2 linked regions of the Lepisosteus oculatus genome follow. The protein of the gene in region 2 interacts with the protein of the main gene of each other region in a pairwise test. Links are inferred from orthologs where the notes say so. Each region holds a gene or a part of one and is shown on either strand. Other genes may lie near its edges.

Region 1 (3,753 bases), on a different chromosome or scaffold from region 2:
CATGGTTGATACTAACAGTCTTGTTTGAATTTCATAGGCAGCATATAGCATTCTGGCAATAAACAAGAGCATAAGAAAGATCACAAATGAGAGGAGGGCATTCATCCTGTGTTGTACAATGTGGTGAGGTATTTGCTAATTGATCCACAGATCTCATTTCCTGGAGGAAGCTGAAGTATAGGTTTAAACCACATGGCTGGGTAGCTTGTTTCATACCCCCACACTTCAGCCTTTGGGTAAAGTAGAGCCTCTTTTTTCTCAGTTTTAACTGCACTTCCACATAGGTTCTGAGGTTTCTCTGGTTCGTGTTTCGCTAATCATTTTGGAGAAGTCCACTTCGTTGACTTGGAGGATTTTTAATCTGTGCATCGGGTTCCCTTGTAGTCTTCTCTGTTCAAGACTGAAAAGATTTAGTTCTTTCTGCCGGTCAGTGACGAGCATTCTCAGATTTGTTTGAAGGATAGGTGTACCTTTACGTTCATTACTCTAATTCACCCTAACGGGCTGGAGCCTAACCCAACAGACACTGTACACAAGGAGGGAATTTCATTCATATTTTTCTCACACATCTACAGAAATGTCCTGGTTTTAATTCTTTGCAAAAACTGTAAACAATATAGATTCACATTAGAATAGTTTTATTATTTTTCTACAATTTGATGTCTCATCAAATACTTTGAAATCACTTGGCAAAGCACACTCCAGCAGATCTCATAGGTCACATTGAAATCAGCTTTCTGTAAAGGCCTGGAACGCATGCGAGGTTTGATCAATGAAGCACATGAATAGGTCCAATTAGGTCAGGAATGGTCAGCCACAGTGCTTGAGAGCTACAGGGTTTTGCTCTTTTCATTTCAAACGATCTCTAAACTACTTGATCCAAGCACTTAGAAACTAATGACATAAGGGTGACCCATATAAACTGTCGGATTGTGGCTCCGCCGCATGGACATGTACAGTACTCCGACTTGTGTTTTTGAGAATCAGTTAATACTGTACAGTACTTTAGCGCTAATTATCCAGAAGGGGGCAGCAGATGCGTGTTATTTGGCACAGTTCTGCACATCTCGAGGGCCAGTCTCGCGATATCGCGGTTGTACTTGCGGTCTGATTCCCTTCAGTGCGATGAGAGTCGCAACAAGGGTCTTTCGAGTCACTTTTAAATATTTCATTTTATTTGTCTGAAGTGGAGAAAAAAAATATTACTCCCTCAGAATCCTTTGTCTCTTATATTCTTAATTGTTTCAAGTAAGCAACGACCATTTTTTTTGTTTTTCTTCGTTAGTGGGAGAGGGCACAGTTGTGATCATCCGGACTTGGAAATGAGTTTCCTCTTGTAAGTAGAATGAGAAATGTTAATCTCTTCCTGTTTTCAGTTTAAGCGTTTTTATTTTGAACTTTTGTTTCAATTCTGCTGTCTAAAAGACTTCCTTTGTTATTGCCGTAAACTCTGGCACAAATATCGATGGTTACCCACTGAAACGACGAATTATAAACTTTATTTTCACGAAGCAAGAAGTGCGGTACGAAGGTTGTACCTCTTCAGATGGCTAATGGCGTAAATAAGTTGGGGAGGTGTTTTTTCTGTTGTTAACTTAGTCTGCTGGCACACACGCAAAAGACGGCTTATATAATAACCACCACCGCTACTCCGCAAAAAAGATTTATTTCAGCTTTCTCGAAACAATGAGAAAAAAGAAAACATTTTAGCGATCAAAGCTTTTGAAGAAGCCCTTGCAAAATCCGTGATCTCAGAGATCAATTAGACGGAACTGCTGGTAATTTACCCACCTCCACGGAAAAATGAGCATGTCGTCGTAGTTAATCTTAAGAAACGACAAAAAGTAAGTAAACCGTTTGGGAGAGGGCAAGAAGTCAGTATTTATTTAATTCTGGTCAATTACATTTACCATTCTTATTAACACAAAATAAACTAAAATTATGGGAGTTCTGCGCGTAATAGTAAATTGAAACCGTATATCTAGAATTTATCATCATACATTACATTGATATGTGATCTGAGGGGTTTTATTCGATACTTGCATCGTAGTAGGTGCATCATAGGTGCGGGTGAGCATTCGAGTTAAACTTTATTTTATATAGCATCTTTAAAGGTGGCTTCACAAAGCACTTTACAGAATGAGAACAACAATAAATAAAAAGCATAAAACACAATTACAATATGCAGAGGAGACCGTGGATGGTGGTACTCTGAAAAGCAGAGGGGTGAAGAATGGAACCAGTTAAGTAAAGGCTTTTCTGAAGAAGAGGGTTTTGAGTCTGGATTTGAAGGAGTTTAGAGAAGGTGACTCTGATATCCTTGGGCAGAGAGTTCCAGAGCTTGGGGGCATAACAGGAGAAGGCCCTGTCACCCATAGAATGTAGATGGGCTTGGGGGACAGTAAGGAGGGCAGAATTCGAAGAGCGAAGGTTGCGAGGTGGGGAGTAGGGCGATAATAGTTCAGACAGGTACTGAGGTGCCAAGCCATGTAGAGCATGAGGATTTTAAAGTCCACACAGAATTTTGACAGGAAGCCAGTTCAAGGACTCCAGAATAGGAGTAATGTGATCACTTGCACTAGACCTGATCAGGATCCTGGCTGCTGAATTTTGGACATACTTCAGTTTGTTAAATAAAATCTTAAATAAAAAGATTGAAAGTAAGGTTGCAGCAGTAAATATAATTTATGTATTCAACCTCCATAACCAGGCATTTTTTGGGGGGGCTCATGCTTGTATTTTTCATTTTGGGCATGATATGACAAATATGTTTATAGAATTAGGTGATATCTGTTCGAATGATTAAGTAGAAGATGATTTTTAGGACCGAGTTAAAAAGTGGAAAATTGAGAACTTGACTATCATATGACACTTCACATCCTGCTTCTTGGTGGCCTTGAGCCAAAATGCTATTTCAGCGATAAAACATCCAGCCTTGTGATTTTGCAGAACTAGAATACAAAAGGATGAGCTTTTGAGGAAACCTGAAGTCATCGAGCGAAGTAAAGTTGAGTTTAGTCCGCAGTACTTCGTTACTTATCTATTTTTTGGAAGTCGGAGCAGCTCAGCTTGGAGCTGGTTAGAATGGTTTCCAAGTCCTTGACATCTCCTGCTAAGGTTCAAGTTAGTGGCTGCATCAGCATGCGGAGGCTGCAAAAGGAACAAGTAAAGCATTTCTCCATGCTGGAAAGAGAAGAAAAGAAACTCAATGTGTTGGCTGTGGAGCCTTCTTCGGGTGTCTTCACACTTGAAGCCTAAACGTTGTTTCTAACCCCCTATTACAGTCTACCTGATCACAGTTTTTTATAAAGACACTTCCCCATGGCTTTTCTTACACAATGGGAGAGCCATTAACGAGACATTGTGAAGGTCGCCCCGGTTGCTGTGGTGGGTGGTGAAAGTACGCTCTACGAAGTAACGACTTGACCCGAAACTTCGTTTCTGTAACGGGGTTCTCCTCTTTTCTGCAACAGCGGCAGCCGCTCCTCCAAGACCTTCAAGCCCAAGAAGAACATCCCGGAGGGCTCGCACCAGTACGAGCTGCTGAAGCATGCGGAGGCCACGCTGGGCAGCGGGAACCTGCGGCAGGCCGTCATGCTGCCCGAGGGCGAGGACCTCAACGAGTGGATCGCCGTCAACAGTCAGTACCTCGGAGCGCGAGGCCACTTAGAAACGAGAGGTCTAACCTGTGTGGTCGTTAGTAGCCAGTGGATCTCGTCCAGACCTTAGTTGAAAGAAGCCAGTGGATGGGTT
Region 2 (3,753 bases):
TATAAAACTAAAAAAATTAAATCTAGAATGAAGCCAACATCTTTCCTATATATTATTTGTTTTTTCAATGTAACTGGCTTCATCACTCTGCTCTCCTCCCCACTGAGAGCTGGTGTGTGGGGAGTGTACTGGTGCACTCTGCTCTCCTCCCCACTGAGAGCTGGTGTGTGGGGAGCGTACTGGTGCACTCTGCTCTCCTCCCCACTGAGAGCTGGTGTGTGGGGAGTGTACTGGTGCACTATGGATGCTGTCGCATCATCCAGGTGGGGCTGCACACTGGTGGTGGTGGAGGGGATCCCCATTACCTGTAAAGAGCTTTGAGTGGAGCATCCAGTGGAGCTATTATTACTGAAACCTGCGCCCAGAATCCTGCCCAGAGGATTCTCTAGCTCATGTTGATGCGTGTTGTTTGTTTGTGCGTTTTCCTGATATTGTCTGCTGCCGTAAAACAAATTGCCACCTCGGGGACAATCGAGAAACTCTCTCTCTCTTATTTATGTATGTAACAGATGTGTTTCCTTCAAAAAAATAATTCCTGTGTTATACAACACAGATATATCTGCATGTCATCTGACAAAACGTTTTTTTTATTCTCAGAATTACAGTGCAGTTAGACGAGAGCCACGCATCGTACTCACATGTGCCTCTGCGCCTGGATGATGGCGTTCACATCCTCAGAATTGACCATGCTGAGCATCCTGTCGCAGAACATGCCGGAAGCAGTCGGCTCCATGCTGAGCCTTCGAGCAAAGAACCAGCAGTGTCCTAAATGGACAAAGTAGATATAAACAAAAAGACACGCAAATTAAAAGCTGGTAAATTGAGAAATAACTATGAAATCTTTCATTCATTAATCAAACAAAACGTTAAATCAGTGTTAAAGTTATAGAATGTAAAGGGATCACAGAAATTTAAATGAAAAATGACAAGAAAGGAGGAAAAAACAGACACTACGGGCAGTCCTGAGCCTACTCGATCAAACATCAGTGACAGGAGCGTGTCAGGGGAATCGAGGTGTTGTTGTTCTACACTCGGAGCAGCACACAGCAAGGAGGAGATCCGGCTGCTGGGAGGTCCCGGCGAGAGTGAGAGCAGCAGAAATAAGACGAGCTCTGGCAAATCATGACCACACTCAAATCGCTTCTAATGTGCAGAGGACACCAATCCAGGCAGAACTGTAAATAGTGCCGTAACTGTACGAGCATCACACCAGGACGCAAAGACTACAGACCGGGGCAGACACCTGCCGAAACAGAACTGGATAAGGGCAAGTCACAACGAACAGGAAGCAGAAACACGAATCCCAGACATCAGATGGGCAGAAGAAGCAATGAATGGGGAAGATGCAGTAGAAGGGTGCAGGAGGTCCTTCCTGGTTTCTACAGCTGGGGCCTCGTTCGAAGCCGCATGTGCACTGAGCAGCTGCCGCGGTCTTCACTGAAGAGATTTACTTGGAAACACGGGCATCGAGTGCACAGCACCCCTGCAGCCTGGAGTCAACGTCACACGGCGACTCAAACAGCCACGTACTGTACCTCCCCAGCACCAGATAAAACGCATATACTACCATGCACGCTCAGAAGCGCCACCGGCTGTCGGTAAAGCCAGTGCATCGCAAGACTGGAAAACGACACGCGTGCAATTTGTTTACTGGTGTCAAGCCTAACTGTTCAGGAAGCGAATTTTAAAACACCTCACACACTTTTTTTTTTTTTTTGAGACCGATTCGGCATTCCGAAGACGAAACGAGCAAGTGTCGATTCCGTATGAACCACTTCTGGACGGTTCCACAGTTCATTTTTTTTTAAGTCCGCATCTTCAAAAGGCTCAGCCGACCTCCTGTTATTTGACAAGTGACGCGTATTTGAACCGGGGCTGCCAGCCTCCCCAATGCGCATCGTATCGCTCAAACTCGCACTGTCACTCGTTCAAGAAATGAAGAAGAGGAGAATGGGCATGATGCAGCTCTCGGATCCTAGACTTGTCTACTGAATGTTAGGAGTAACGCTCGGAGTTTGACATGATCTGGTATGGAAGACGCGAAATAAGCGGCATCTCTTCGTTTTGCTACATCTGTAAACTCACGCCTGCTTCGCCAAGGGTTGCCGTGGGTGTAATCCTGGTTAATGTTTACTTCCACAGCCTCATTTAGTTGTAGTAAATAAACGTCTCCAGCCCTTCCTCGGTTGAGCACGACTGCGCTGCGCTCACTTCCGTATTGCGGAAACGCACAAGGGACTTCCTGTCCGGCGCGGAACCACGTGTGCACGCTGGCGGAAGAGGCGGATTCCCAGGCCCTGGAAGTCCTGCGTTTTTAATCTAAAACACTGCCCGTTTCGTATCAATACAGCACCGATTACTGCAGGAGGATGGAGCACGGGCGATCTTTGGCCGGTGGGGGGCGTTGTTCCTGCAGGTTTTCCAGTGAAATATTAAATAAAGCAACAATCCAGCTTGTTTCCATGCCATATGTCCTCTCACTTTCAGAATTAAGAACAGCTATAAAGAAGAAGGATACCATTCGACCAGTCTAGCTCTCTTGGTATTTAGTGGAATTCGGTTGTTAAGTGATCCAGGGTTCTCCTTCAGTTGTTTCTTCAGTATCAGCTTCAACAACATGGACAGGTCACTTGTTTCATGGTGTATTGATATGAAACTGTATTGATATGAAACTCATACTCAGAAGAAGATCATTAGATCTCTGGCTTGGGCTTTGCCTTTCGTGCATTTACAGCATGTAACAATGCCAGCTTCAGAGCCACCCAACACCAGACCACTACAGGGATGTAGTAATGCGCTGTATCCCAACAGGCTTTGCAAACCTCCTGTGGCAGGAGACTGGTTCTCCAGCTCAGCTGATTGGTTCCTGAGAGATGAGCGCGAGATGCCGAAGGGCCTCAGGCCAGGGGCTCCCACTTCCAGGGCTGGAGTGCCACACAGTTGCCGGCCTTCCTTCCCACTGAGCTTCGTCACTGAGCTGGACTGAGAAGTTGCTTGATTGAAATATTTGCAGGATTTGTTTTATAGTCTGAGTATGTTATGTATGAAATGCAATAATAAAAGGCAGCCTCCAGCATGTTTAAAAAGAACAATCTTTTGAATTGATAATATCAAGTCAATTAAGGGTTCAGTTATGCATCTAAGCAGCCGCGTGGTCCTTCAAGACCGGGACGGAGACCCCTGGCTTGGCTTGACCCCTGGATTATCATATCAATCACCAATCGATCGTATCATTTGTCAACCAGAAAACTACCTCCTAATCATGTGAAGAATGATCCGAGTCAACAACAACAGCAAGAATTCATAGCCAGTGAATCGAGCATCTTGGTTAAGACTTTATTTCAGACGTGCTGCTCAGTATTTACACCTCTCCCCACGTGACGTCTTTTATCCAGGACCTGTAGGCTGACACCCTGGTGAAGACAGCCGGCCTGTGCGCTGTGCAGGTCTTGCTGCCCCAGGTGAGCACGCCCCACAGGGAAGACACACCTTCTCTGCTGCAGACCAGCGCCCCTCCGGAGATCCCCTGGAGGGAGGGAGGACGTTTGACACAAATTCTCTTCAGTTTATTCGAGACTCTGATGGTTCACAGTCAGGCTCGGGGTTCATTCCAACTCCCTTTCAACCCACTGAAATGGGCAAAAAGTGGACCTGAAACCCCGACCTACTCAAAGTAATTCAACTTTAATTTAAGCAAGTATAGAGTATAGAAAAATCAGACTCTGTAAAAACAATACCTGTACATATACCTAC

What was found.
Region 1: the proteins of kxd1 (region 2) and MOB kinase activator 1A interact in binary tests that used the Homo sapiens proteins (3 or more experiments, as listed by UniProt). The two-hybrid records come from large-scale screens. The link is inferred for Lepisosteus oculatus from reciprocal best matches to the Homo sapiens genes KXD1 and MOB1A.

Annotation. Positions count from the first base shown.
Region 1 is NC_090697.1:68,319,511-68,323,263, reverse strand, and holds the start of MOB kinase activator 1A, read left to right. Parts: upstream 1-1,087; 5' UTR 1,088-1,322; coding exon 1,323-1,336; intron 1,337-3,473; coding exon 3,474-3,640; intron 3,641-3,753. UniProt on the Homo sapiens protein: Activator of LATS1/2 in the Hippo signaling pathway which plays a pivotal role in organ size control and tumor suppression by restricting proliferation and promoting apoptosis.
Region 2 is NC_090702.1:56,035,110-56,038,862, forward strand, and holds the start of kxd1 (kxDL motif-containing protein 1), read right to left. Parts: upstream 2,170-3,753; 5' UTR 2,086-2,169; intron 766-2,085; 5' UTR 734-765; coding exon 639-733; intron 1-638. Other genes in the region: ovch1 (ovochymase-1), read right to left, coding at 3,362-3,526.